Lonchura striata: one gene and its partners. The protein of the gene in region 2 purifies or fractionates together with the protein of the main gene of each other region. This does not show direct contact. Links are inferred from orthologs where the notes say so. Each region holds a gene or a part of one and is shown on either strand. Other genes may lie near its edges.

Region 1 (7,654 bases), on a different chromosome or scaffold from region 2:
AAAAAAAAAAAAAAAGTGAAAATAAACGTGGAAAATTCGAATCTGACTATCTGATGTCTGGCAAAGTTCTGAGTAACTGAAAACAGACTTGTGATGGAAAATATCGAGTAACCTTAGCTATAGGTGTCAGTACCAAGTATGTGATGTTTTTTAAAGCAAACAAACCAGCGAAGCGCACACAGATAGAGATCAGCCGTTCTGATTTCCAGGGGGCTGAGCAACCCCCAATCCTCTCTGTCTCTCCCCCACCACAGTTGTGTGCAGCCAGCGCTGCCTGCTGCACCGTGCACATCTGGCTGACACGGTGCGGCACGGCCACGCTGCTCTCCCTGCCCCCTCCTTCTCCTGGCAAAACAGGAGACGAGGCTCATGACGAGTGCCGAGCGAAGTCTGAAATGCTCTTCCCCTAACGGGAAGTAGACGCAGAGTCACGCTGGCGTATGGGCAGCCCTCACCTAGGTGGCTGTTTAGAGAGTCGATCCTCCATTGACAGTAGGATGTTCTCAGAAAAGGAGCACATGTTCTTGACCTTATTCTGGTTGTATGCTCCAAAATCCTCTGTGTGCAAGTCTCTATCTGTCTCTTGTTCCAGTGGCATTTGTCTACTGAAGGAGCAGCTCCTTGGACACGACAGGAAGGGCTGTCTTCTCTCCACAAGATGAAGAGACTTTCCTGTGTCATTTTCTGACAAAGTAAAAATACTTCCATTGGGTTAAACAAGTAAGCTCATGCTTTTCTTTGAAAAAGACCTCACTCAAACTAAATAAGGGGGGAAAAATAGAAGGGGGTGCATGATGAAGAAAACAACAATGAAAATTGGTCATTTAGATTTCCTTAGCTTGCCATGGAGACTTTGTAGAAAGCTGGGAGTGGATAAGTGTATCCTGGGCAGAGGAAAAAGCTTTTGTAGTGTTGGGGGAGACTTGCAGAATCCAGAACATTTACTTTGGCTATTGCTGGGGATACAGAATTCTCACAAGATAGTTTAAAATGGGGGCAGGGAGACTTGGTTGTTGAAGAGACACAGATTCTGGGACAATACTCAGATACTGAATGAAAGTTTGAACCTTTTCCTTGCTAATTCCAAAGTAAAAATTACCTATCTCAGAGTTCGATACCCACTCTCCACTCAAAAAAATTATCTAGGGCAAAATTCTCTGCTTTACCAAAGAGAAAATAAAGGGCAAGGCTTCTCAGAAATGCTGGGATCTTCAGGGTTCCTTTGCAGAAGTGGCAAAACCTTAGTTCAGTCATGGCAAGCCTCAGTATGATCTGGAAAGCTTACAGGGCTGCTGAGTGGCAGACATGAGAAGTAAGACCATCCATATTAGATACAAACAGTCAAAACTAGGTTAAAGGAAGAGGTGAAATGTAGCTGCAGCCTTTTCAGAACAGCACCACATTCACAGGTACATCGGGGGCTGCCAGTTTTACGCAGACACTGAAAGATATTTTTCATGTTACTGGTTGTATGTAACTTGACAGTAGAGATATTACAGACTGGCTGGAGCAACCCTCAGTCTGAAAAACAGCAAAAATGAAGAGAACAGAAGTATGGCTGTGTCCCAGCACACAAATGAAGCAATACAGTGGCAGCATTGCGGTGCCCAACATCTAAACCCATCAACCCGTCTGAATTGTTATGGAACGCAAGAGGAACTGACAAAAAATAGCCTGAAAGACCATAAACCGATCTTTCAGATCACATTGTCTGCAGCACCAGCATGGCAAGCTTGTAGTCTGTTATCTGTGTCCCACATACGAACGGTCCATGCTAGGCTGGAGAGTCTCCCCCTTTCCAAAATGCTCTGGGGTTCCTTCCTCCCTTGCGTCCACACTGAGCAGCACTGAAATACACAGGACTGAATTTTCCAGCCTACAACCCTGAGTTCCAGAGTGAAACAATGTAAAAAGCTTTGTTCTTCTTGTTACCTTGGGGAAAGATGTTTAAAAGGGAACATAAATGAAAAGTGAAAGTGAGAAAGGGCTGTGGGCCTGGTAAAAGCCTGGACAGGGGCAGCTGCCCACAAGGTAGAGGAGGATGGGGCAGGACTCTTCTGGGTCTCGTGCAGGGACCTGAACCCTGACTAACTTAGACCACACAAAATGACAGACATTATTTAGAGGTCACCCCAGCTTGTTGCTGGGAGCGCAGAGTACAGAGTCCACTTTACCCAGTTCTTGGAAGCAGAGCTGGGCAGGGGTGTGTGGAAGGTCCTCTGGCCAGTTTGGGTTTCCCAACACGGGCGCAACACCAAAGCAAGATGTTGCAGGCATTTTCCCCATGGGAAGTATGCTGGGGGGTTGTTTTGGGGTGTTGACACCCATCAGCACAGGTAGGGTAAGATTGAATTACACAGATCTTACTGTAATTGTTTCCAAGCCAAGTGCTATAAACTCAAAAGATTCAATTAAACTGGGTAAGTAATTGAACCACAGTAAGGTATGGCAACTTCCAAGTTTAAAGCAGCCAAATAACTGGAAATCTATCTCATGGAAATCTATCCTTTCCTCATCAAAGGAAAATATTTAGAAATATATATATATTTAATCCATTTAATTTACTTGGCCCTCACAAACAGTAGAAACATCTTGATCATAATCATGTATATCCCATATGGAGTTTTTGTTTTGAGGGAAAATTAAGATTTCTGCTGACTAAGAAACTTCAAGTTAAAAAGGAAAAAAGGAGTTGGAGCTGAGGTGGGGAACCTTGGGTACACTTGGGATAAAAATGTACTAATTTGTCATGCAGAGAAAGATTTCAGGGAGGTGGTGGCTCATTGGGAATGAGCCTTCGGAGGCACTGGGGCACACATTGCCTAAAACCATTAGCAAACAGCCTTCTTCAGACCATAACCATGCTGGCAGGAGCCTTGGGAATCACCTGCAGAGAGCCCCAGCACCTGACTCCCTTTGCAGGATCTTCATCTTCATCTGCATCACACCTCTCCCCTTGTGGCCAAGCCACTGGGGAAAGAGGCAAATATGGAATTCATGGGCACTGGTCGGTGCTGGGCTGCTCAGCTCGGGAATTTGTCTGTCTGCCTGGCTCCTGTTAAGAGGGGATTGTGTCAGCACACACAAGAGGGAATGAGAAGTCCTTGCAGAGATCCGTGTGAGTTTGGTGGTGGTGTCGTCCACCACACGTTTCTGTAGCGCTGGATGGTCTGCTTGATCTATGCGAAGGATGGAGCATCTCTGGAAGAGCAGTGTGCTCTTTCCTACCACTTTTCCTCCATGGAGCTGAGATAAATGAGAGCATCATTGTCATGTGGGCAAAGGTATGTACAGGGATAGTACAGGGTGCGTGCTGCTGATGGCTGGAGAGGTAGGTGGGATTTTTGTATGTGCAGGAACATGGATTACACAACAGCCTGTTGGGATGTATTGGTCTAGTCTTTGCTGAGAGGCGGGAACAAGGGCACGGGAGGCGCAACTCGTGCTGTGGAGTGGCTGCACACGTACTGTGCATTGTGGAACTCTGCGGGAGCACTCAGTGGAGATGGGCACATGGATGTGGTGGTGGAGCCTGGTGGTATCTCAGCAGAGTTGCCAGTGCGAGGCGGTGGTCGGAGCCTTCATGCGCAGGTAAGGGAGAGCTTGCCAATAGCCAGAGCCACTTCGGCACACGGCCGAGGGGATGGGATGGCGTTATGGAACACCTGTGTGCGTGGATGTATTTTCAGTGAGCTTTAGCAGACAAAGCCCGGCTTGTGTTGCAGGATCTGTAAGCGACTTGTTGCTGTCTGTAAACAGCCAATCCTCCTCTTGTGTTGCGGCGTGTTTCGCTGTGGCGGGACGAAACGTGCACATGCACCACCAGGCGTGGGACAGCGGAGGCAACGAGCGCAGTTGTTGACACCCACACATTTTACTGGGAGAGACGGACAGGACTGCACCTCTTTGTTGAGATTAATAGTGCTATGAAAATGCTCAGCGGAGGATAAGGCGGCATTATGGGATGTGATTTTGTTTAATGGGAAATTAATGATACAGTTGCATGTGTATAATTGGAGTATACTTACACCGAGGGACCGTTCCCGTCTGTGCAAATCTATGCGTTTCCTGGTGGAGGCTGCAGCAGGGAGCAGGGTGCTGGGTGACAGGGAGGAATGCGGTACATGGACATGGCGTGTATCACAGAATCACAGGATCAGTTAGGTTGGAAAAGACCTCTGAGATCATCAAGTCCAACCTTTGGCCAGACACCACCATGGCGCTAAGTGCCACATCCAGCCTTTTCTTAAACAGCTCTGGGGATGGTGACTCCACCATTTCCCTGGCAGTCCATTCCAATGCCTGATCACCCTTTCCATGAAGAAATTCCTCCTGATGCCCAACCTAAGCCTCCCCTGGCACCGCCTGAGACTACGTGCTCTCGTCCTGTCTCTAGTTGCCTGGGAGAATGCGGATCTCTGGGGTAGGGAGTTCTGCAGGTACCAGCAGCCAGGAAGCCTCGGGGTGCAGGGGAGGCACCCAAGTCACTGCGGGCTCCCCGCACACAGGCTGGCGGTGGCGGTGACCGCCGGGCACGGATGGCCTTGGAGGGGTCCTGCGGCCTGGCGGGCGGAGCGTGCGGGCTGGGGCACGGCAGGACGTGGCAGGGAAGCGAGCGGGGCGCTCAGCCCCGAGGTCGGGGGCGGTCGGCGGTGGGAGGGCGGTGCCCGGAGCCTGTGCCCGGGGCCGGTGCCAGCGCGCAGGAGGGCGGGAGGTGCGCGGCGGCCGCGCGGTGCCAGGGGTCGGCCCCGTGCCCCGTGCCGGAGCGGGGGCTGGGGCGGCGCGGGCCCCGCGGTGCCGGCAGGGCGGGCGGGGGGCGGCGGCGGAGCCCCGCGGGTGCGGGAGCGGGGCGGGCGGCCGCGAGTATTATGGGATGCCGGGCTGGACGGTGACTCCCGGCGACTATTATGGGATGCCTGCCTGGGCGCGAGGCGGGGGGGGGGGGGGGGGGGTGAGGGGGGAGGTGTGACTATTATGGGATGTGCGCGCTCGGGGTGTGACTATTATGGGATGTTCCGGGGGGGGGGTCCCCACAGCGCGCGCTCCCCGCCGGAGGGGGGACGCGCCTATTATGGGATGGCAGCCCCGGGAGGCGCGGGGGGGCGCCGTGCCCCGGGGTCCCGCGCGGGGCGGGGGGCAGCACTGTGGGATGTTCCTCGGCGGGGGGCAGCACTATGGGATGCGGAGCGGAGGGGTGCGAGCCTGCGGGAGTATTATGGGATGTTTCTCGGGGTGAAGGTGCGGGCGGGGGGGGGCGGCAGTATTATGGGATGTTACCGGCGGGAGGGGTGGCGATTATTATGGGATGCCGGGCCGGGCAGTGAGTGGGAAGTTCTGAGGGGAGGGTGAGTATTATGGGATGCCGGGGGGGGGGGGGAAGGGGGGGTGTGTTTGCCGGGGAGACGGGGGCGGGGCCTGTTGCCGGGGTCCTGGGGCATATTATGGGATGTAGGCGGGAGGGGGCGGGGCCTAGCCGGGTTTTTTTCCCCTTTAAGAGGCGGTGCCGCGGCCGGAGCCATTTTCCCTTCAGCGGCGGCAGCGGCGAGAGAGGAGCCGGGGTCCGGAGCCGGGTGAGGAGCCGGGAGGGAACGAGGGCGGGCGAGGCCATCTGCCGCCTCCTGGGGCGTCCGGGCCGGCAGACGCGTCTCGCCGCCGGCCGCCCCGCCGGCTCCGGCCGCGGCTTCCCCGGTTACGCGCCGTTCCCCTGCCCGGGCGGCCGCAGCACGGCTCCGGCCCCTCCTCCCGCCCCGCAGCCGCCTCGCCGGTGCCCGCAGTCCCGGCCTGCGCCGGCCCCGGGGCACGGCGGCCCCTCGCCGCACGCCCGCCGGACTTGCCCGGCCCCGCCCCGCGCCCCCGCCCGGGAGACGGTGCCCCCCGCCCCCGCCCTGCGCCGCGCGGCCCCGCTCCGGGCGGGGGCGGCGAGCGGGGCGCCGAGCCCGCCCGGCCTTTTGTGTGCGGCCGGGCCGGCGCTGCGGTGCCAGCCCGGGGCTGCCGGCCAGCGCTCCGCGCTGACAGCCGCCGCGCTGCCCCCGGGGCTCCCTCGCGAGCCCGGCTGCCTTGCTTGCCCCTCTGCCCGCTCCTGGCTCAAGGCAGAAACAACCGAGGGCACCCGGCTGCAGAGGACGGGAGAGTTTTCCTTTAGGACAGCTATTTTGGCTTCCTCGCCAGCGATGAGTTGCTGACTCAGTTTAATATCTAGTGTCTCCAAAGCCTGCTTTATCACAACTCTAAACTGATACTTGCTGCCAGTGATTCTGTTATCCATAGGCTCCAAAGCCAGTAAAGTTGCTGTCTAAGCTTTCTCACAGATCCTCTTAGTTGCACTATTGCTCGGGAGAACGGAGTTCAGGTTTGCTGTAACTTTCTCTTTTTCTTTTCAATGAAGTACTGGCCAGGCTGGCAAGAAGACGACAGAAAACCTGTGTAAGCCCAGGCCTCCCGCGGTGTGGAGGACATGGCTTCGGGCATTGGATCTCCATCACCGTGCTCAGGGGGCAGTGATGATGATGAGATGGAGATCCTGTTGAACAACGCTATCCCCCAGCATCCAGGTATGGGGGGGCCTGCAGGGCATGCATGTGCAGTGGGGATAATGTTGGTCTCAAGCTGAATATGTGAAGTGTGTGATGTGTTGGGGAATGCAATTTTTTTTAAATTTTTTTTTTGTTGCAAGTCACACGTATGTTTTTGATTTCTGAGTCCCAGGGTTACTTTGAAGTGAGAGGCTCGAGGCTTTGTGTCAGGTGGAGCTGACTTTGTTCCAAGCCATTGCAGGCTGTCAGGGCCTGTGCTTGGAGGAGGTGTAGAGGGTGGAGGCAGAGCGTCCAATTCTGACCGGGGTACCAAAATGCTTTCAGTTTTCATGAATGGGGAGGGGGTAGAGGAGGTAGTATGTGAAAGGGCAGGTTGCCTGGCTTGCTTTCATCTGGGAACTAAGACCGGCTGACGTCCAGAGAAAACTGCCCTGGGCTGTTGCGTGACCCACTTTCCTTCATCACCACACCCAATTATTGAGGATTCTTACTCCGTGCTGCTTGCTCACCTTTGCTTTTTTTTAGTCCTTGTATTTTGCTTTTCCCCTTGTATTTGCATCCTCATCATCAACATGAGGCTTGAGTTAGAGCCCTGGAATTTCTTCTGGTTTGCGTTTTTTTTCTTGTTGCTGCTATTGATGACCTGCTCTGTGGACATGCATCTGGATTCTTCACTTCCTTGTGAAAAAGGAGTGATGTATATAGTCAATTGTAGGACAAGTGTGGGATTTCCTACTAACTCATGCTGGAGTGTTTTGTCATATATGAGAAATGTAACTGGAGGAGGGAAGATGGTGCTGTGGAGTTTTGAATTTTTATTAGTTTGGCATTTTTTTCTTAAGCCTTGTCTCTTGAGTTTTCCAGCACCTCTGAGATCTTGGGCAGTATGGGACTATCAGTAGTGAAAATCTATTTGCAAAAAAACTGGTAAAATCACTGCAAAATTGAGAGGTTGAGGGAGACCTTGGAAGGGGTGGGTCATTAGAGGCTCTAAATCAGAACTTGGGGGAGAAGGTGTGTGATCCTTGAAGGACCTGGTGTTGCAGTATCACGGGAGCAAAGATACATCCATTGGTTGGGAATATGGCAGGGATCAGGCGTGGGACTCCAGGTTCTGAGAC
Region 2 (7,050 bases):
TCACCTCTCTAAACAGAGCAAAATAACCACTATCAAGACAAATTTAAAACGGTTACTATTGAATTAATCACTGTTTTCCAAATCTAGCAAAAAAACAGCCAACAACTAGTTCTCGCTTAAGAGTAGCTTCTCCAACCCTCTTCTACTCTCTTACTAGAGACCTGTTAATGTTAGGAATAGTCATGTCCTCCAATTACAACATAATATTGGCTGTATTTAATATGCACTAAAAGTCACACACAAACTTTTCAAAACTAATACATCATTCACCGAGAATAGAATAGGCAAAATCAAAATTTTGGAGATGATCCCAAGCAGAACCACATCCACTGCTCAAAGACCTGCTATTAAAATCTCTTTTCAGAAAAAACAAAACAAAGACCCCAAAAACCAACAACAAGAAAACAACTCTTCCCTTTTCTTGCCAGTTGTTAACTGCATTGAACAAGAGCACGGGTGCCTTCAGAAATGCCACCACTCACCAGACTGGCAGGAGGAGGAGGCCTCCTCCATATCCCATAGGTTAATAGTTTCTAATGTGATCTAATGGGAACTAATGAGAGTTCAAAGAAACTCCAGGTAACAGAGTATTCTCATAGCAAAATGACACCAAATACTCATCTGCTTCGCAAGAAATATTAAAAAACAGCCCTTTGTTACTTCCTCCCCATTCCCAGTACAACCAGTTAATATTTGCTGGGGACTGGGTCACCTAAAATTTCCATGTCCTAGCTTGCCTTCCCAGCATCACCAAAGACCTTGGCAGGACTGCAGAGAAGCCCCTTTTCTCTTCACAGCTTTTAAGTCTACAGGGGAATTTCAGACATTTTGGTCTTGCAGCAAAGAAACAGGAGATGCAAGATTAACTACACTCCATATTGATTCTTAAGGCAAATAAGGTGAAATAAAATTTCATCTCTAAGAAGATAAGTCTCAATAAACCTTATGCCACAAGCATGGCATCTGAATTTTGGTTTTAGCTGTTTTTCCTAAAGCCGATGGTCTATTTGAATCAGAAAAGCAGTATTTTGATACACTTCTACAGGAAGAACGGAGGATTGTAAGAAGTAAATCATATATGCAGACTGCATATAAGAAAAAAGAAAAACAGCAAGAGAAATAAATCTCGTTTTTAAACAAGATCTAGAAGAACCCCGTATATGCAAAATAAAATACAAAACCAAGAAACTTGTGCGCACACACGTAATCCAACAATAAAGTGTACAAAAGCATCGTCTTTAGCACTTCGTATTTCTGCAACTGGCATTATGCTTAGCAAGGAGCTAAGCTATTATTGTGAAAGACACGAAAATGACGAACTGTTAAGTCCTATCTGCAGCTGATCAAAAGCACAATAAACTGAATAGCTTTGCTCTCAATCACTTCCAAAAAACCAGAAGGGCAAAAACATCCGAACACCCTCCCTATGCCATTAACGCAAATAGCTTCAAACGGAGCGAGAACAGGCGAAACAGACGGGAAGGAGAAAAGCAGGCTCGAGCTAACAGCAGCAAAAGGGAGGAGGAGATTTAAGCAAAACAGGGGAGAAAGGGGCAGTAATTGCGGCACCAAGAAGCGGGGAGGCTCTGGGGCCCCGAGACTGACCTGTGCCGTCGCTGGCGGACACGGAGAGCGCCGGTGAGGAGAGTTTAGGCCGCTTGGCTGAAGGCGGGCCCGGCTCCACCACATTCTCGGCCATTTTTAATTTTTTAGACAATCGCTCAGAGCAGAAAGAAGGTGGGGGGTGAACCCCAAAACCTTCACGGTCTTCTGGGGCCCGGAGTCAGCTGAAGAACAACAATAAGGCCGAGAGCGAGGAGGAGGATCTGGCGGAGAAGGGGGGCCAAGTTCCCCTTTTTCTGCTTCTCGGGCTCTGGGAGGGCGGCAGCAGAGAATCTGGGAGAGGTGGGAGCTGGGGCGGGCGGGGGTGAGGCCTCTTCCCCCAGGCGAAAGGGCTGAACGAAGATGGGAAGAGCAGGTAAAGCCCCCGCCAAAAAAAAAAAAGGAAAAAAAAATTAAAAATGGAGGCTGGTGAATATTTAATTTTTTTTTAGTAAAATTAATCCCGGCTGTTGTGCTGGTGCTTCCTCGCCGCCGCCACCATCATCATCTTCATCCTTCGGGGGGTCTCCTCCTCCTGCTGCCTCCTCACCGCCGCCATCAGCCTCTTCCTCCTCGGCGCCGTCCTCCTCCTCCTCATCGCCACAAGGAGGCGGGCGAAGGAGAGGAGAGGAGGAGGAAAAAAGAAAAAAAGATCACCGTCCTCTAGCAGCGGCTCCTTCCCCCTCCAACACCACCCTGCGAAAAAATACCCACCGCCAGCGACAGGGCTGGGGGGGAGGCGGCGGGGGGGAGTGGCACAGCGTGCGCGGGGTCCCCAGCTCCACTCGCTTCTTCCTCGCCCGTCGCTAATGGCTGCAGAAAGGGGAGCTGTAAGGATGAGGAGGGTGAGGATAAGTCCCAGGAGTCTCCGCTTCACATCTTGTTGTGCAGGCAAAGAGGAGGGGTTGTTGTCCTGATGGAGGCAGCACCGATCGCGGGATGGGAAGGTGGGGGGCGGGTTTCAACACCCCTTCTGCCCCCTCTTTTTCTCTTCTTCCCCCTTCCTCTTTCTCTCGTTCGCAGTAGCAGGCTGCCCCCCCGCTCCGGCGCAGGCAGAGGGGCCGATCCCACAGCAGCGGCAGGAGGAGGAGGAAGAAGAAGCCGGCCCCTCCCGCCCTCTCTGCCTACCTTCCCCCTTCCCGGGCGGCCGAGGATGGTGGCAGGGAGGGGGCTGCCCGTCCCAGCTCCCCCGGACCCACGGGCGATGCAGGGCGCGATGAGCGAGGGAGGAGACCCTCGGCTGTTGTTCGGGCGCGGTGGGGACTCCCCCTTCGCCTCTGCGAGGGTGGGGAAGGGAGCGAAGAGGTTGGAAGTCGGGGTGGGAGGGGAGGCCGCGCAAGCTACCCCTCGGAGAAGAGGATCGAGAGGTAAAATTAAAATAATAAAACAGGAGAAAAATCACGGCGGGGAAGGCCGGGGGATTCGCCCCGGAATGGCCGGGCGGGGGAGGGGGTCCCCGGCGCTGCCCCGCGGGGGGGGCCGGGGCGGGACGGCGGCAGCGCGGGGGCCGAGCGCAGGCTCCCTACTGCCCCTGCCTGGCGCTCCGGGGGCGTGTGTGCGGAGCGGGCAAAGCGGGGGCGGAGGGCAGTGCGGGAAGAGAGAATTCCGGGAAAAGGAGAAGAGAGAAAAGGAAACAGAAAGAGAAGGAATAGCGAGGGGACGGGCAGGCTGGGGTTGGGGGGGGGAGGGGAGTCTGGATTCCTCGCTTCTCTCCCCGTCCCCTGTCCGTGCCCCTGGGTCTCTGTGCGCTGCCCTCCCCCTGGCTCGCCCCGTCCGGCTCGGCCTCTCGCTCCCTTCTCCTCCCTCCGTCGCTCACACACAAACAAAATGGCGGCTGTTGTTCCTTCGCTCTCCCGAGCCCTCGGAGGGAAGCGGCGGTGGCGGCGGCGGCCGGAAATGAGCCAAGAGAACACGGGGGGCGGGGCCGCCACCGGGGCGTGGTCAGCCCCGTGGGCGGGGACACGGCGGGGCGGGGCCCGGCGGCGTTAGCGCACACAATGGAACGCGGGGCGCCGGCGGGGTGGGGGGCGTGGCACCGCCCCAGCCGCCGTCACGAGACCGCGCTTACCCACTCAGCGCTCGTCTCTCTCCGGGCTCTTCCGCAAACTCCGCTGGCCTCGCCCCTTAAAGGCGAAGGGTTTTTCCCTTAAAAAAAAAAAAAAAAAAAGGCTCCTTCTTCCTGCCCCGCCCCATACGGCCTTATCTGTCGGCCCAAAAGTGCGCGGCGTAGGCCCAGGGGAGCCTGGCCGGACCTTGTGGGCGCTCCGGTCTGCTGCTGCACCACCCGGTGCCTGCTGCCCGGCCCGGTGGGCTGAGGCGCCGGCGGGAAGAGCGCGGTTCTTTCGCTGCCCTCCTTCCTTCCCTCCCGCCCGCCGGCTCCCGGCCGGTTCCCCGCGGCGCCGGCGGGCGGGGCCCTCCTGCCGCCGGTCCCGGGCCGTGCTGCGCCACAGACATGGCAGCACCCGGCCAGCCAGCAAAGGGCCTGGGCAGCGGGGCCGCACCCCGAGGCCCCCGAAGTGGCGAGTGGATGTGCGAATCACACAATCGCAGAATCAATTAGATTAAAAAATCTCTGAAATCATCGAGTCCAACTCGTGACCGAACACCACCATGTTAGCCAGACCATGGCACTGAGTGCCACATCCAGTCTTTCGTTAAACACCCTTAGAGACGGAAACCCCACCACCTCCCCGGGCAGCTCCCAATGTTTAACTGCCCTTTCTGTGAATAAATTCCTCCTAATCCGGCGGCGCTCTGTACTGCCCATCCCGGGGGTGCCCAGAGCTGCCTCAGGCTCCCGTCGGCGTTACAAGACAGACAAAAATCCCCAAACGCCAAAGGATAAATAAGCCCACAAGCCCCGCGCTCTCCGCCGGACCCCAGCGTGTGGCGGGGATGGCGCAGGGCACGGTACGAGGGACCGCGGAGTCCTGACAGCGCTCCCGCCCATCAGAGGGGCTGTCGCAGGCATAGGTGACACTGGCGCGGTCCTCCGCCAGCCCTCTCAGCCCCCGAGCCGTCCCACAGGTTACGGGCCACGAGTTTTCCTCAAATCTCTGAGGGCTCATCCGTGAGGAAATGCCCGATCCCGGCATTTCCCTTCGGTGCGTTTGGACTCCGTCGGGCCGCACACCATTACGAGATAGGAGTGGAAGGGAAATGCAGGCACGTGCATGTTTTGGATGGAGAATCAGGGGGTGTTGATCCAAAACCGGACATTTGCGAGGAGGACTTCCCTTGCCGCTCACCCTCAGGGACGAGCTCTCTGCAATCCACGTAAGAGCCACAGCAGGTATTTGGGAAGAGCCTAGACTAAACACAGAATCAATACTGCAGCCTACAAGAGGAGCCTACAGGCAGGAGGAGATTCACAGCCCTGTAAGTTATTCACCAGCTCCCTCACATACTCCCACTCTTCAGCTTCCCTTGTTTGGGTTTTATTTTAAACAAGATTGTTCTTGTCTTCCCCAGCGCAAAAAGGAAAACACAAACCACTCCAAAAATGCCCAAAGATTGGATTTAGGCTTCCTGAAAATTCTTGAATGCATAGGCACTACGTTAAGAGAGGTGGAGAGAGCCTTGCCGCTACAAATAAGCCTCGGGAAAATAATGTGTAGTGCAAAAAGTCTCAAAGTCTCAAAACTAAAGCTGTCAGGACTAACAGCCTAAAACTTAACAGTGACACCTTAGAAACTATGTTAGTGGTTTTCACAGGTTTTTTGCCTTTTATTGTTTCTAAATTTCCCAAAATATGCCAGTTATAGAGATTTTATGTTACCTCAGGTTTGTTTTTTGGGTTTTTGTTTGGTTGGTTGGTTTTTTGTTGTTGCTTTTTTTTCAGATTGACAGTTTCTCTTGTTTGTGAAGCAATTTTTTAACACAGCTGAGACTAACTTTTTGGTCTCATTAGAATTAGAAGTTGACTGAAATAAGTCAATATAAAATTGTCAGACTGGAGACCCTTAGTCTACAGTTCAATAAGGAATTAGTGCTGGCTTTTTAAAGATGCTGAAGTGCACATAAACACCTAAATGCTTTTAGAAGTCAGGCCCTTACTAAACAACAAGTTGGGAGCAAATAAAATGTTTCAAATAAGAGTTTTGAGACACTTGTTCCTATCTAGAGACTAGATCCTACCATTCAGTTCACCTGAAATTGTGCTGGCAAACAAAATAAAGTTGTTTGTTTGTTGGGTGTTTGTTTGGTTGTTTGTTTTTGTTGCAGTTTACCCTCTGGTCTGGCTACCTGTCTGTCTATCCTTGAAAAGGGTTCAGGGATGCATACCTGAACTGTGGAAAACTTAAACTCTTACATAAATGCTACCAAACCAACATATGTTTTCTGAATATTAATTATATATATATAAGTGATTAACTGATACTTCAGTAAAGCTATAGTTCTGCTTTGCAAGCTTCCTACCCAGTAGAATATCTTAGTTCTTTAGGCATTAAAAGGTCATATTCAGATGGCTTTCCAGATTAGAGATTTAAATGCAAGCTGAAGTATATGGAAAATAAATAGAAAAGAATGTTATTTGTGGTATTTTCCTTAAAAAGGCACCAAAAATAAAAGAAGGAGGAAGTAAAGGAAAAGCCAGGAAAGTAGGGTTATGATAAATCAAATATATATATATAAACAATGACAAAAAACTATTCAATATCTGTTAAGTTTTCTCAAATCACTGCAGTTTTCTTAAATGAACCTTGGTACATGCACACAACCCATGACAGATAACATTACTGGAAAGCAATAACAACATAAAGCATACTAAGAAGAAAATGCATAAACCTATAAAAATAAAACCAGGAGGATATTATAATATTAAAAGTAAAACACACCTATTCATCAAAAAACTTCTCTTTGCTTCAGTTTCCCCATTCTTACAGCAAGGATAGTAATATTTATCCCTTGAAAATAATGCCTAGAAGAATTGATTAGCTCATTAATGTCAGTAATTACAGTAGTCATTATGTACTTTAAGATAACTGGATGAAAGGACCATAAGTCCAGTTAAAATGAGAATCTGCTCAGGAAAGCAATAAGAGAGGAATGCAGAGCCTTGAAGTTTTATCGTGGGATCTTGTTTGGCCTTAGCTGGTAGTTACTGAAATTTGTAAGCATGCCCAGCTGCTTTGAGGGCTACAAAGAACAAGATAAGATCCCTTTGTACTGCAAAGGTCAATGTGATGCCCAGAGCTCAGCAGTCCAGCTTCAGTGGGATGAGCAGGCAGAGGAATAATAATCTCCTTCGGCCCAGAGGGAGCTGGGACTGTGGCCTTCCCCTTCCAGCTGCTGGATAGAGAAGCAGTGTAACATCTCAAACTCACCCAGCCAGCCTCCCCTGCTCCCTAATACTGCTCAGGAAATAATTTATACAAATGAAACTTCCCTGCTTCCCCTCAGCAGGATTTGTCCCACAACCCTGTGGCCCTTCGAGTGTCTCTGAAA
Region 3 (7,463 bases), on a different chromosome or scaffold from region 2:
TGCCCTGATCTCCTGTTTTATTCCACTGGATCAGCTGGAATCGGAAATGGGATCGAGGAACTCCACACCAACCCCGTGTCCTGGGATCCCACCAACGCCCAGAGCACAAATTCCACCCCTGCACCGGGAATATTTGGGACAGAGGGAAATCCGTGGCATTTTCCACCTGCAATGGCACAATGTGGGATCCCTGGGAAAAGGGGAAAAATCAAGGAAAAGCTGAAATTCCTGGGAAAACCAAGGACAGGCTGAGCCTGCCCTGCTCACAGTAGAGAGGGAAAAGCCAAAATGTGGGAATATTTCTGGGAATGCAGCCCCGCTCTCGGATTTAATAAAATGTCACTGATGAGGAGGGGGATTTTTAATTTTTATATTAATTAAGCTGCAATTAACAGAGCTGAACCAGCCCTGTGTCTGAAAACGCCGGAGCAAACATTCCTGGATAAATCGCACCTGGAATTTCACTTTTTGGGCCATGGATCAATAATTGATCCAGTTTTGATATCAAAAGTCAGAGTTCGCTGCAGGAGGAGGTTTTAGGGAATTGCTCCAGCCCGAAGGCTCCCGGTTTTCCCTCAGTGCACCCCGGAGCAGGGGACGTTTCCCAGGATCTGCAGCTTCTCCCTGGATTTCTGCCCCACCGGGGGTGGCAGGGCAGGGGCACCGCGGGCCTGGGTGAGCCCCGAGGGGACACGGTGACATCACAGCATCCCTGGGGACACATTCCCAACCCCAAATCCTGGGGGTCAGAGAGAGCCTGAACCTTCCCAACCCCAAATCCTGAACCTTCCCAACCCCAAATCCTGAACCTTACCAACCCCAACCCCAAATCCTGAACCTTCCCAACAGCAACCCCAAATCCTGAACCTTCCCAACCCCAAACCCTGAACCTTCCCAACAGCAACCCCAAATCCTGAACCTTCCCAACCCCAAATCCTGAACCTTACCAACCCCAACCCCAAATCCTGACCCTTCCCAGCCCCAACCCCAAATCCTGAACCTTCTCAATCCCAAATCCTGAACCTTCCCAATCCCAACCCCAAATCCTGAACCTTCCCAACCCCAAATCCTGAACCTTCCCAATCCCAACCCCAAATCCTGAACCTTCCCAATCCCAACCCCAAATCCTGACCCTTCCCAGCCCCAACCCCAAATCCTGAACCTTCTCAATCCCAATTCCAAATCCTGAGCCTTCCCAACCCCAAACCCTGAACCTTCCCAACAGCAACCCCAAATCCTGAACCTTCCCAACAACAACCCCAAATCCTGAACCTTCCCAACCCCAAATCCTGAGCCTTCCCAACCCCAACCCCAAATCCTGAACCTCCCCAAGACCAACCCCAAATCCTGGGGCTTGGAGTAGAGTTCAAACCTTCCCAACCCCAGCCCCAAATCCCAGGGATTGGAGCAGAACCTTCCCAGCAGCAACCCCAAATCCTGAACCTTCCCAATACCAATCCCAAATCCTGAACCTTCCCAACACCAACCCCAAATCCCGGGAATCAGATCAGAGCCTGAACCTTCCCAACACCAATCCCAAATCCCAGGGCTCAGAGCAGAGCCTGAACCTCCCCAGCATCAAAGGGGCTCCCCCAAAAATCCACAAAACAGCTTCTGAAGCACAACTCATCTGAAGCACAACCATATTTTAAATATGGACAGAAAAACCTCCCCAAATCCACCCTCCGGGTCTGTTCCCTCCGCTCCCAAAATTCCCGTCTCCTCCACTCCCTGCACTAACACTTGGAAAGGTTATTCCCTAAAAAACAGGGATTTGATTTAGCACAAGGAGCAGGAAAAGCCCATCAAACGGGGGCTTTAATCCTCACTAAAAACCTGCCCTGAGCTGGATAAAACAATGTTAATTCCAGAAAAAAAGGAAAGGAAAACTTCCATCCTGACGGGAAAGCAGCAGCAGCAGCAGCTTTCAGAGGCAGCTTGCACCCGGCTGTGATTAATCAGCTTGTCCACCTTGTCCAAATAGTCCATCGAGCAATAATTAAAAATAATAAGCCAGAAATTATCAAATCACACACAATAACTGCAGAGCTCCTTCCCCTTTCGCTTTTGTTTATTGTTCAAACTTGTCAAGCCCCTCGCCTCGCTCCGAGCAGCCGAGCAGGGAAGGCAGAGCCCCTTCCAGCAGATGGATTTGCAGGATGAAAAATGTCCTAATTCTGATCCTTTCCACTCAATCCATGACCCTCCCGAATTGTCCCGCTGTTGTTTCTGCCAATCAGCAGCAGGGTCAGGGGACAATCCGTTGTCACCGGGTTTTGCTCCTCTCCAGGTACATTTTGTTCAGATTTTGTTCTGAGATCAGAACAATCTCCTGCCTGCGTTCGCTTGGATGTTCTGCGACAAAATATATTTACTAAATGAGATTTGGGGAGCTAAACTCCAGCATGCACCACCCTAAGAGCTGAGATTACCCAGGGAAAACAATCCAAATTATCACCTGTAATATTTGCTGAAAGTTTACCTTTTTCGCCCCAAACAACAACGCAAAATTCAGCGGCCTTCTCCTGGAATATTGGATATTTAGCAAAGGAAAGAAATACAACTCTGGGAAGAGTCCTCGGTGTTTCAGGAATAAAAAAGCCCCAAATTCCCCTGGAGAAAAGCCCCGCTGTGCTCGCAGTGCCCCTGTTCCTGCAGACAAAGGCTCTGGAGCAGAGCACAGCCACTTACCTTTAAACTCACCCAGAGCAAAACTACTTCCCAAAAAAGTTTGCAAGTGCAAAAAAAAAAAAAAAAAAAAAAAAGTGAAAACCAACCCAAAATCATCACCAGAACCTCAGGGAAAACTAAAACAACCAAGGAGAGGGTTTTGAGTGCGTTTATTCCCAGCTCCTTCCCCACTGCCTTTTCCTTTTCTTTACATTTTATATATATTTCTTTTTTATTCTTTTTTTATTATTATTTTTTCACATGCCCTTTCCAATACCTTGAAACCCCCGTGGTCAGGGTGACGACGACAATCGCGACAGGGCACGGAGGCGGCCGCTGCCCCCAGGATTGTCCGGCCGCACAAAGGCTGCAAATGAAAGCAGCAAATGAAAGCGGCTTCCAGAAAGCCCCAACTTTAACGCTCGAGTTGCACTGAAAAATTCTGGGCTCCGGCTTTGGGAAAGGAGCGGAGCTCGGAGGTTTCTGCCCCCGAAAGGCGCTGAGAGCACAAGGAAGGAGGTTGGGAAGGGGTGCAGCTTTTTGGGCAGCTCCCACCAAATCCCCTTCTCCTGGAGCCTGAAAATCCAGGACCTTTCTCGCCCACCGGGATGGGGATCGCAGTGCCAGCCCCGGGTTCGTTCGGAGCCGCTCCGGGAGCCGCTCCGGCTGCAAACGGGACTCCGGTAAAGCCCGGGATGTTTCTGTGAAGGGAAAGAGCCGCAGTTACCCACAGATAACCCCGGGCCGCTCTGCGTTCAGACACTGATCAACTCGGCCAAACTTTTATTTTTGTGGAGAGGGGGAGGGAAGAGGCCGCTCCTTCCCCGGGCACGGCTCCAGGCCGGGATGCGGGACCGGGATCGGGAACCGGGATGGGGAACCAGGATGCGGCACCGGGATGCGGGATCGGGATGCGGGACAGGGATGAGGAACTGGGATGAGGAACCGAGATGGGGGGAACCGGGATCTGGGATTAGGATGAGGGATCAGGATGAAGAACCGGGATGCGGGACCGCGATGGGGAACGGGGATGATGGTCCAGCAGCCCGATCCGGCGCAGGGAAAGCCGCGCCGGGGCCAGCGGGATGGGGAATAACCATAAAAAGAGGAATAAACGGGGAACGCGCGGATGTCGCAGCACGGGGTGGGCGGAGGGACGCGCCGGACACCCCATCCAAAAAGCAAAAAGAATAAAGAAAAAAAAAAAAGTAAAAAGTTTTAAAAGGAGAAGAAGCGAAAGCGCAGCGGCGACTTTGGGGTGCCCGGGGCCGCAGCCCCCGGGGCCGGCCCCGCTCGGTGCCCGCGGTCCCGGGGGCGCGCCCGGCCCGGCCCGGCCCCGCCGCCCCCCGCGCGCCGTTCCTGAGCCTCTGGCGCCCCCTCGGGACGGAGCCGCGCAGCGCCCGCGGCCCCGGCGCGCTCCGCTCCGCGCGTCCCGCCCGCCGCCAGCGCGGCCGCAGCGGCCCCGCCGGGCCCATCGGCGGGGAGTCCCTCGGCCGCCCGCGGGGAGCCGCGGGGCGCCGCCGGCCGCTGTCGCCGCTGTCGCCGCTGTCGCCGCCGCCGCCGCCGCTGTCGCCGCCGCCGCCGCCGCCCGTCCCGTCCCGCCCCGGCCGGGCCGCGCCCCCCGCGCCGCGCGGCCCCGCCCCCTCCCGCGCGGCTCAGCCAATGGGGGCGGAGCGGCCCCCGCGGGCCGCGCGGTGATTGGGCGGCGCGGGCGGCGCGCGGCCCCGCGCCGGGTATTTGTGCGCGCGGCGCGCGGCGGGCGCAGAGCCGCGCTGGAGACCGGCGGGGCCGCCGCGCCCGACTCTGCCCCGGCCGCTCGCCCCGCGCCCCGTCCTGCGCTCCTCCTGCTCCCCGCCTCGCCAAAGCTTCTCCCTGTCCTCGCTTCGGAGTTTTTTGGTCTTCTTACTTTTCGTTAATTTTTTTTTTTTTTTTGGCGTTTTTGTGCTGAGGAGAAGTAATAAAAAGTTTTTGGTTTGTTGTTTTTTTCTTTTTGCGAACTTCTCGCTGTTCTTCTCCCTCCTCTCCGCCGCCGGTGGAGACTTTGTTTCTCCGAGTTTTTACTTTTTTTTAACCCGTCCCTGCCCCTTAGCGCCTAACTTTTTTATATTTTCGATTATTAATTTTTTTTTTTTCGCCCCCTCGTTCCCCCCTCGGCCACTTTCTCGCATGAATCTCCTCGACCCTTTCATGAAAATGACAGAAGAACAGGACAAATGTATCTCCGACGCCCCCAGCCCCACCATGTCGGATGACTCCGCCGGGTCCCCCTGCCCCTCTGGATCCGGCTCGGACACGGAGAACACCAGACCCCAAGAGAACACCTTCCCCAAGGGGGACCCGGACCTGAAGAAGGAGAACGACGAGGACAAGTTCCCGGTGTGCATCCGGGAGGCGGTGAGCCAGGTGCTGAAGGGCTACGACTGGACCCTGGTGCCGATGCCGGTGCGGGTGAACGGCTCCAGCAAGAACAAGCCGCACGTCAAGAGACCCATGAACGCCTTCATGGTGTGGGCGCAGGCGGCCCGCAGGAAGCTGGCGGACCAGTACCCGCACCTGCACAACGCCGAGCTCAGCAAGACCCTGGGCAAGCTCTGGAGGTGAGTGCGGGGCCGGGATGCCCGCGGGGAGCGGGGGATGCGCAGCGCGCTGCGCCCGGGGAGAGGATGTGGAAAACGCGCTGGAAAACTTCTGCGGGGTGCAAAACTTGTTTAGGTCGGGGAGAAGCCAGAATAGGAGCGGGGGAAAGTAGGGAAAGTCGTTCGCCTTGTGGCGTTGGAAGTGGTTTCTGTTCCCGGAGCGGGCGGACGGTGCGGAGCCCCCCGGGCTGCCCCGGCCGCTGTTTGTTTGCGCTGCCGGTGCGGAGGAAATGATGGATTTTGGGGATTGCATCAGCTCGGGCCGGGCCGGAGGGAGCGCGGGGCGATGCGGGGAGGGAGGGAGGGAGGGAGGGAGGCGGCGGTGAGTGGCGCAGGGCCGGGTGGCCTCCGAGTGCCAGAATAAGGCGGGGAAGGGAGGAAAACACGAGGCAAGTGAGTCACCTGGGCCACCGCGTCCTCGGGGACTGCGCGGGGGCCGGGGGACCCTACAGCGGTGACTCGGCGAGGAAAGCTGGCCCTGGCACGCTGGGATGTCCCCAAAGCGCCCGGGGACAGCGGGATGTGCCCACAGCGTGGGGAGGGCTGGACCCCGCTGCAGCTCTGCTCTGGTACCGAAGGGATCTGGGCGACAAGAGGGTGGCAACCGCGGAGTGCCGGGGACAAAGGGGTGACAGCCAGCGAGTGTCCCGGGCAGGGGGTTCAAGTTGTGGGGGGCTGTGCATCGCTCTTGGGGGGATGCGAGGGAGGGATCGGCACCGGTGTCACTGCCCGGCGCCCCCCTGAGCCACGAGTGACCCCGCGCCCCCCGTGTCCCCCCAGGCTGCTGAACGAGAGCGAGAAGCGCCCGTTCGTGGAGGAGGCCGAGCGGCTGCGGGTGCAGCACAAGAAGGACCACCCCGACTACAAGTACCAGCCCCGGCGGAGGAAGTCGGTGAAGAACGGGCAGGCGGAGCAGGAGGAGGGCGCGGAGCAGACCCACATCTCCCCTAACGCCATCTTCAAGGCGCTGCAGGCAGACTCGCCGCAGTCCTCCTCCAGCATCAGCGAGGTGCACTCGCCCGGGGAGCACTCGGGTAGGTACCCGCGGAGCCTGCGGGGGGCACGGCGCGGCTGCCGAAGCCGCAGCCCAAACCGGGCTGAAGTTGGGGTTGGGCGAGGGGAGGGAAAGCAGAGAGCCAGGAAGGGAGTGAGAAGGGGGAGAAGTACCCGCGAGCTGCGCCCAGAGCCTGGGCACACGGATCTCACCCCAGCGTGCCACTGCGGCCACGTCCCCGTGTTTTGCCCGTGGGAAACGCAAACCCACGCCTTTTAAAGCCCGCTGGGACACCTGGAGGCGCGTGTGCCCCGGCCACCGCTGCCACACCTTCACCCCTCTCCTTCCTCCCCCAGGCCAGTCCCAGGGGCCCCCCACGCCGCCCACCACGCCCAAGACGGACCCGCAGCCGGGCAAGCAGGACCTGAAGCGGGAGGGCCGGGCGCTGGGCGAGGGCGGCCGGCAGCCGCCGCACATCGACTTCCGCGACGTGGACATCGGCGAGCTGAGCAGCGACGTCATCTCCAACATCGAGACCTTCGACGTCAACGAGTTCGACCAGTACCTGCCACCCAACGGGCACCCCGGCCAGGTCAGCTACACGGGCAGCTACGGCATCAGCGGCGCCGCGGGCACGCCGGCCGGAGTCTGGATGTCCAAGCAGCAGCCGCCAGCGCTGAGCGCCGAGCAGGGCCAGCAGCAGCAGCAGCAGCAGCAAAGGACGCACATCAAGACGGAGCAGCTGAGCCCCAGCCACTACAGCGAGCAGCAGCAGCACTCCCCGCAGCAGCAGCAGCAGCAGCAGGTGAGCTACAGCTCCTTCAACCTGCAGCACTACGGCTCGTCCTACCCCAGCATCAGCCGCGCGCAGTACGAGTACGGCGAGCACCAGGGCTCCTCGGGCTCCTACTACAGCCACGCCGGGCAGGGCAGCGGGCTCTACTCCACCTTCAGCTACATGAGCCCCACGCAGCGCCCCATGTACACCCCCATCGCCGACACGGCGGGGGTGCCCTCCATCCCCCAGACCCACAGCCCGCAGCACTGGGAGCAGCCCGTCTACACGCAGCTCACCCGGCCCTAAGAGGGAGGAGGGCGTGACAAAAAAATTTAAAAAAAAAAAAATTAAAAAAAATAATAAAAAAAGGGCAGGAAAGTGACGA
Region 4 (7,038 bases), on a different chromosome or scaffold from region 2:
CAGGAGAGTTTGGACAAGGTGGCATTGCAAGGGCTGAACAAGGTGGCATTGCTAGGGTGAACTGTGCAGGGCCAGGAATTGCACTTGATGCCCTTGTGGATCCTTTCCAACTCAGCATATCTGCTAAAGAGGATCAAGGTGCAAACCACTTCCAAGTGATTTAAGCCACTGTTTGACCCAACTCTCTGGTGGTCAGCTGCCAGATTTCACCTTCCAGAGACCCAGCCAAACAAGGTGAGAGGGCTGAAGCCCCAGAAGACCCACCTGAAAGTGCCTGAAGTGTAGCCCCCTTTCTTCCCTGGCAGGCAGCGGTATGTCCCCACCACCTGGATGCGGTCCCCAGGCTTCACCCTGTCCACCAGGTCATCGTCCAGAACCACATCCACCGAGCGTGGCAGCTGCCCCGCCGGGGCCTTCTCAGGCATCTCCTGGATGGTGATGGTCTGGTGGTCCTTGTAGACCGAGAGGCCAAACTCTGTCTCCAGTGGGTTGTTCTCTTCATCCTAAAGCAGGAAGCCAAATGAAAAGATGAGCACCATTTTTCAGAAGAGCAGGGAGGACACAGGGTGCATCACCCACTCTGCACAAGGCTGCTGGAAAGGGTTGTTTAGCAGGACTGGAGGCTGGGGATCACCAGCTCCATATTGAAGCTGGCACATCCTCCCTAGAGGAACCTGCTGCTGCTTCACCTCACCTTTGTAGGGTAGATGGAGCTGGATGGGAAAGCATCCAGGGAGGTCATGTCTGCGTATCGGCGCTCAATTGTTTTCTTGGTAGCTGGGCAATAATGGACACTGCGGACAACTTTCGGACGCACCAGAGAGCCTGGGGTTGGAAAAGAGAGGAGTTAGGGGCTGGGATGTCCCACCCCTCTGTCAGCAGGCAGCCCCCAAACGGGTCTCCAACATTAAGATTACTTGGGTCACAACTCACTGTCAAATATGGGCAGGACTGGCTGATTTTAAAGACCACCCCAACATTCAAGACCTTCAGCCAAGCTCCCTGGCCCAGGCTGCCAGGATACAGAATCATAGGATGGTTTGGACTGGAAGGAATATTAAAGATCATCCAGTTTCATTCCCTGCCATGGGCAAACACACCTCCCACTATCCCAATCAGCCTAGCCTTGGATACTTCCAGGGATTCAGGGGCAGCCACAGCTTCTCTGCACAACCTGTGCCAGGGCCTCCTCCTGCTCACAGCCAAGAATTCCTCCCCAGTATCCCATTTAATCCTACCCTCTGTCAGAGTAAAACCATTGCCCCTTGTCCTGTCCCTCCAGATCCTTATCCCAAGTCCCTCTCCACACCACAGCTCCTGGAGGTCTCCAGCTCCTCCACAGCAAACCCCCAGCCCCTCCACACCCCAGTCTCACACTTTGTCACGATGCCCTCCACGCAGACGATGCAGCTGAGGAAGCAGGCTGTCAGTGTCCGTGGGGACACGTGCTTGGAGCCAAAGCTGCCCTCCAGCCCGATGTAGAAGTCCTCGTACTGCTTGGCATAGGTGGCATCGACAGAGGCGACAAAATCCTTCAGGGCACGCTGGAAGGCGATCAGCTCCTCGAAGGCATTGCTCAGGAGCCTGCAGCACAGGGAGGTCACAAAGCAGGTGGGTCAACCCCTTCCTCATCAGCACTTTTTCCCCACTCCCCCACTTGCTCGACAAGTTTTCCAGGAGCAGGAGGTGAAAAAACATGAAATCCATCACAACTCTGTGCAAGGTGCACTGGCACCAACAGCAAATAGGAGAAAGATTCCAAGAATATCTGAAAAGCCAGATTGACCAGGCTAGTCCAATATATTCTTGAGCATCCTCAAAAGGGCTGAGAGAAGTGGGGTTGGTCAGCCTGGAGAAGACCTTAGAGCCCCTTTCAGTGCCTAAAGGGACTCCAAGACAGCTGGACAGGGATTTGGGACAAAGGAATGGAAGGAGAGGACAAGGGGTAATGGCTTCATGCTTCCAGAGGGAAGGAATAGATGGGATATTGAAAAGGAATTGTTCCTTGTGAGGCTGGGGAAACCCTGGCTTTCACCAGAGGACAAGGTCTGGTGCTTTCTTGTGACAAATGACCTGCAGAACCAGGGCTGGACCTCTGAAACACCTCACAAGCACAGTGTCCCAGCTGCCCCACACCCACCTGCTGGCTCTCTTCTCGTTCTTGCGCCGCAGGTCGTTGATGTTGACGATGAGCCGATACTGGTTGTCACTGATCATGTCCCGGACCTTGCTCTGGTAAATCCCTTGGTCTTCCTACAAGTGGGAGTGGAGTGAAACACACCCAAAAATCAACTCACTTTGCATGTCCGCCTGTGTGAAAAACCCCTCAGAAGCCCATTCCTGCAGAGCTGGATCCCCTTCATCCCACCGGCAAGCAGGAAGGGGCAACACAGGGACCAGGTGCTCCCTAAAGCCGGTAGCAATGGGGGGACACAGGAACCAGGGGCTCCCAACCCCCTGGGGTACATGGCGGGGAGGATCAGGTAGCTCCCAGTTCCCGGGGGCATGGATCAGGGGCGACGGACGGGAACAGCGACCAGGTGTTCCCCAACTTCGGGAGTAGACATGGGGCGGGGGCAAACAGGGATGAGATGCTCCCCAATCCCCGGGGATACAGGGAGAAGGGGACATGGGGACACGGATCAGGTGTTCCCCAACCCCGGGGGCATGCAGGGGACGCAGCACCCGCGCCTCCCAGCTCGTCTCACCTCATCGTCCAGGAAATCGAGGTAATCGCGCTGCGCCTCCCGCAGCTCCGCATCCTCCAGCCCGCCCGCCGGCGCCGCCATTCTGCCGGCCGCCCTGGGACGGATCCCTCCGCCGCTGCCGGGGAAGGCAGTGAGCGCCGAGGGGAGCCGGGGGAAGCCGAGAGGAGCCGAGAGGAGCCGGGGGAAGCCGGGGGAAGCCGAGAGGAGCCGAGAGGAGACGGGGGAAGCCGGGTTGGCCCCGCGATGCGATCCGGCCCCGGCGATCCGCCCCCGCCGCGCTCCCGTTTCGCGCCAAACGCGGCTCCTTTCCCGCCACCGCGCGGGAAACCCGCCCCCGTCCCGCCCCTTGGCGCTGCTGATTGGTCGGCATCTCCCACCGCTAGCCAATGGGGTGGCGAAACAGTGATAGACAGTACGCTTAGCTTATCAACGCGCGGGGGCGGGGCAGGGGGCGGGGCCAGGGGTACCGGGGATGGGGTTTGATCCCGGCTCCGGCTCTTGGAAGTCGCCGAGGGACTGAAAATGCCGCTTTAGGAGGAAAAAAAAAAATTAAAAAGCAAACACGAAAACAACAAACCCACCCAGATATAATCTCAAACCAAGAAAAGTCCAATAAAAACTAATTAAAAACTAATTTAGGATTTTGTTTTTTATGTTGTATTTTGGTGAGCTCTGTTTCCGGGTGTTTTCAACCCCTACAGGCTGGGTGGGTGTTGCTTTTTCCTTTAACGTGGCCCCGGTGTGCCTCCAGCAGTCTGGGGATAAACACCCAAAATGGACAGGTCTTGTGGTATTTGGAATGGAAAAGACGATTTTGGATGTGTCTTAGAATCTCAGAATTTTTGGGGTTGGAAGGGACCTTAAAGTGCAAATTATTCCAAACCCCTGCCGTGGGCAGGGACACCTTCCACTATCCCAAGCTGATCCAAGCCCCGTCCAACCTGGCCTTGGACACTTCCAGAGGCAGCCACAGCTTCTCTGGGCACCCTGTGCCAGGGCCTCCCCACCCTCACAGGGAAGGATTTTCTTCCCCAATATTCCACTTAACCCTGGCCTCTGGCAAGTTAAAAACCAGTCTCCCTTGTCCTATCACTATCTGCTTGTGTAAAAACTCCCTTTCCCTCTTTTTTCCAAGCCTCCTTTAAATCTCCTAAGAGGAGTGAGGAATTCCTATTGTAGGCAGGAATCAAAGGTGCCTCTGCCTACAGGGAAACCTGCAGCTCCTCCTTAAAATAACCACTGCAGTATCCCTTAAAAATCTTTATCTAAACTCCTCTTTAAAAACAGGAAAAGAATAAAAAGCATGACAAAACTGTTTTGATCAGCAAGGCATACCAGGCACACAAACTTGGCGGTGTCCCCTGGATATTGTGGCTCACAGCAGTTTTTCCAGAGTAATCCTGGGAATAAATATTCACCCCGGGGTGTGCTGGGCTGAGGCACAGAATTCCCGCTGCCAGATCCCTCCTCTCCAGAGGGAGCAGCTGCGATCGATCGGTGTTTCAGAAGAGGAGCAGGAAACAGCCTTTGCCCCGTTTCCCATTTTCTGTTTGTGTGGATCAGATCACTCACTGGAAACGTCTGGCAACTCTGGTCTGGGATACGTGCAGTCCACGTCCAGGGTATTTGTCTTGTTCCTGAGAGATTTTTTTTATTTTTTTTTTTTTTAATTTTTTTTTTTTTTCCACAAAGTTCAGACCTCCTTTTTAGACCTTTTAGCCCTGCTCTGGAATAATTTGTTGCAGTATTCAGTTTGGCAGAAATAAAGGATTTTATGCTCTGCTGCTGTTTTCTTCCTTGTCCCCTTTTCTTCTTTTATTTTTCCTTTCCCTTTTTATTTCAATTTATTTTCTTTTTCCTTTCCATTTTTCTTTTTTTTTTATTTTTTTTTAATCTTCCAGGTTGCCCTGCTAGCTCCAGATATGTTCCCTGCGGCTGGAATATTTTCCCTGTTTCTGCACACTCAGCAGGACCCATTTCCCTCCAGCTCCTCCTCAAATCCACCCCTTCCCTCTGATTTGCTGGACATTTCTTGTTTTCCTGAGTGGAGAAAGCACAAAGAATGAACAGAGAAAACCTTTGGCGTGCCCCTGGCACTTTCTATTTCTATTATTTCTTTTTCTATTTCTATTTCTATTTCTTTATATTATTTCTATCTCTATCTATTTCTATTTCTACTTTATATTTTACTTTTTTTTTAATGGGCAAATCATCTGCTGAGAATCTAAACTGGCTGGAGGAATCTGTGTAAGCCCATAAAGGAAATGTGATTTATCCCATATAAACTGCCAGAATCCACTGCAAGATTTCCCCTCTAAGACGCTTTTTCTCCCTCTGCAGCAGGCAGAATATTAAATCCAGCAATGGACAGTCTGCATGCTCTGCTGCAGATAAAATATGGGTGGAAAAAATAAAATATGGGTGCAAAGCACCCCGTGAGTAGAGCACAGAGCGGGTACCAGGGTGGGATTCAGGCACATCTATGCAGAATACACAAGATCTCACCCACATTTGGATGGTCAAAACGAATCCCAGCCTGCAGAGACGTGGATGGCTGCACTTTTCCTCCTGCCAGGAGCTGGCAGGGCCCCACCGCTCCTGCCTGAAAGGTAACAGGAGTTAGGGATAAAAATAGCCGCTGTTGTTATTCATGACAGCGCCCTGCCCTATAGCAACTGCTGCGTGCCTGAATAATTCATGGAGCAGGGCAGGCCGAGGAGGACAGAGGGATGGAGAGAGGGGGAGAAGGCTGGGAAGAAGCAAGAAGCCTTCCCTGGCTTTTGGGACTCCCCAGGATTGTGCCCAAGGTCCCCCTGGGTTCACCTCCCTGCTGCATTCCGGAGGTTACAGGGTGGAAAGGCAGCGCAAGCTCACAGGGACGTTTAGCACTTCCTATCCACTGGAAAAAATAAACAGGAATTAAGCACTTAGCACGCAGAGGGCCAGGTCTGGAGGGCTTGCAGAGAAACAGAAAGCTCAAGGGTGGATGCAGGAGCATCCATGGGTGAATTGCACACGGAGCACTTTAAGGGATTTTCCCATCCCTTCCTCACACCTCTGTGTGTCAGCATCCACATGACTCGGTTTCTGAGGTTTAATGGTACCCTGTGATCCTTCTGAGATTCTGGGACGTTGTGGGGTTTTGTTTTTGCTGCTGTTGTTTTTAGTTTGTTTGTTGGGTTTTTTTTCCTCTTAGTTTAACTAAATGTCACTTTTCAAGCCACAGCTCAACTATCAAGTTGCCATCTATTCGCTTTCCTTGTAGGAAGTGAGTAGCCTTGCCTCACCCATGAAGGGCAGGAGAGAGGCTTGTGGTTCATTTGTAGCTCCAAAAATGGGAGGAGAATATCCCAAATTTGATGGAGTGTCACCTGATCATCAAGCAACACACTGGAGTGGAAGCTGCAAATCTATTTGTTATAAATAGAAAGATAATAACACAGAATGCAATGTTTGGAATGGAAAAAAGTCACTTTTTAGAACTGAAATTATGTGGAGAAGGGAGACCACCTATGAGATGTCTTTATCAGGGTAAATTTTGCATTTTCCAAGGGATTAAAGGGATTTATATTTACTGGGCTCTCCTGAAGCTACAGTTGCAGGAGCTGAACCCTAACCGGGGCATGAATTCTCTCTCAAAAGCAGAGTGTTGTCCTGACTCTCCTCACAAATAATTTAATGCTGAAGGGGCCCTTCTTAATCTTCTCTCCTGACCTTTTCCCTTACATAGGCTGGAGAATTTCACCCCTTTGCATCTTCACCCAGCTCAGGCATTTCTGACATAATTTTCTTTAAATATTTGCTATTCCCACACACTCTGGTAAATCTTTAAACGGTTCTAGCTCTTGGGTTTTTTTCCTAATTGTGGAGAAGAAAACATGGAAAACTACTATCAGGGTGTGTAAATAGAATTTCTTTACTGAAAGGCACAGGGAGCTGCTGGTATCTGACCAGGAGAGCACAGGAAAGTGGGTAAGGAGTTAAAGCTCTGACCTTCAGTGTGTTTGGATGGGCTGTAACCACCTTCTTTCTTCCCAGAGTAGGAGCCCAGAGCATATGGATCTGTTTTTCCTCCCAGATGCCTCTAGCATGCTCCTAACACAGTGATGGGAACATAAAATCTTGTGATCCTGCTCCTGATGTACAGCTACCCCAGATCCCGTGGGTGTTCATTCTGTTTTCCTGCTGTGCAGGAGGAAAATACAGCAATTAATAGAAAACCAAAACAAACCCACACAGGCCCTGCCTGCGGGCATAAGGACAACTGAATTTCAAATAAAACCAGAGGAGTGGCTGAATCAACAACAAAGGTCAGGAAGGGGGCAACCCA

What was found.
Region 1: the proteins of EP300 (region 2) and CHD4 purify together in Homo sapiens (affinity purification with western blotting; 4 studies listed by BioGRID, with this or other methods). This does not show direct contact. The link is inferred for Lonchura striata from reciprocal best matches to the Homo sapiens genes EP300 and CHD4.
Region 3: the proteins of EP300 (region 2) and SOX9 purify together in Homo sapiens (affinity purification with western blotting; 3 studies listed by BioGRID). This does not show direct contact. The link is inferred for Lonchura striata from reciprocal best matches to the Homo sapiens genes EP300 and SOX9.
Region 4: the proteins of EP300 (region 2) and MCM3 purify together in Homo sapiens (affinity purification with mass spectrometry; 3 studies listed by BioGRID and IntAct, with this or other methods). This does not show direct contact. The link is inferred for Lonchura striata from reciprocal best matches to the Homo sapiens genes EP300 and MCM3.

Annotation. Positions count from the first base shown.
Region 1 is NC_134604.1:29,474,614-29,482,267, reverse strand, and holds the start of CHD4 (chromodomain-helicase-DNA-binding protein 4), read left to right. Parts: upstream 1-4,645; 5' UTR 4,646-4,714; intron 4,715-5,223; exon of another isoform or gene 5,224-5,238; intron 5,239-5,495; 5' UTR 5,496-5,570; intron 5,571-6,385; 5' UTR 6,386-6,454; coding exon 6,455-6,551; intron 6,552-7,654. UniProt on the Homo sapiens protein: ATP-dependent chromatin-remodeling factor that binds and distorts nucleosomal DNA. Acts as a component of the histone deacetylase NuRD complex which participates in the remodeling of chromatin.
Region 2 is NC_134607.1:24,936,517-24,943,566, reverse strand, and holds the start of EP300 (histone acetyltransferase p300), read right to left. Parts: upstream 3,020-7,050; 5' UTR 1,700-3,019; coding exon 1,606-1,699; intron 1-1,605. UniProt on the Homo sapiens protein: Functions as a histone acetyltransferase and regulates transcription via chromatin remodeling. Acetylates all four core histones in nucleosomes. Histone acetylation gives an epigenetic tag for transcriptional activation.
Region 3 is NC_134621.1:10,674,898-10,682,360, forward strand, and holds the start of SOX9 (transcription factor SOX-9), read left to right. Parts: upstream 1-4,446; 5' UTR 4,447-4,836; coding exon 4,837-5,267; intron 5,268-6,086; coding exon 6,087-6,340; intron 6,341-6,656; coding exon 6,657-7,384; 3' UTR 7,385-7,463. UniProt on the Homo sapiens protein: Transcription factor that plays a key role in chondrocytes differentiation and skeletal development.
Region 4 is NC_134605.1:110,349,675-110,356,712, forward strand, and holds the start of MCM3 (DNA replication licensing factor MCM3), read right to left. Parts: upstream 3,011-7,038; 5' UTR 2,790-3,010; coding exon 2,709-2,789; intron 2,254-2,708; coding exon 2,141-2,253; intron 1,585-2,140; coding exon 1,376-1,584; intron 826-1,375; coding exon 695-825; intron 504-694; coding exon 265-503; intron 1-264. UniProt on the Homo sapiens protein: Acts as a component of the MCM2-7 complex (MCM complex) which is the replicative helicase essential for 'once per cell cycle' DNA replication initiation and elongation in eukaryotic cells.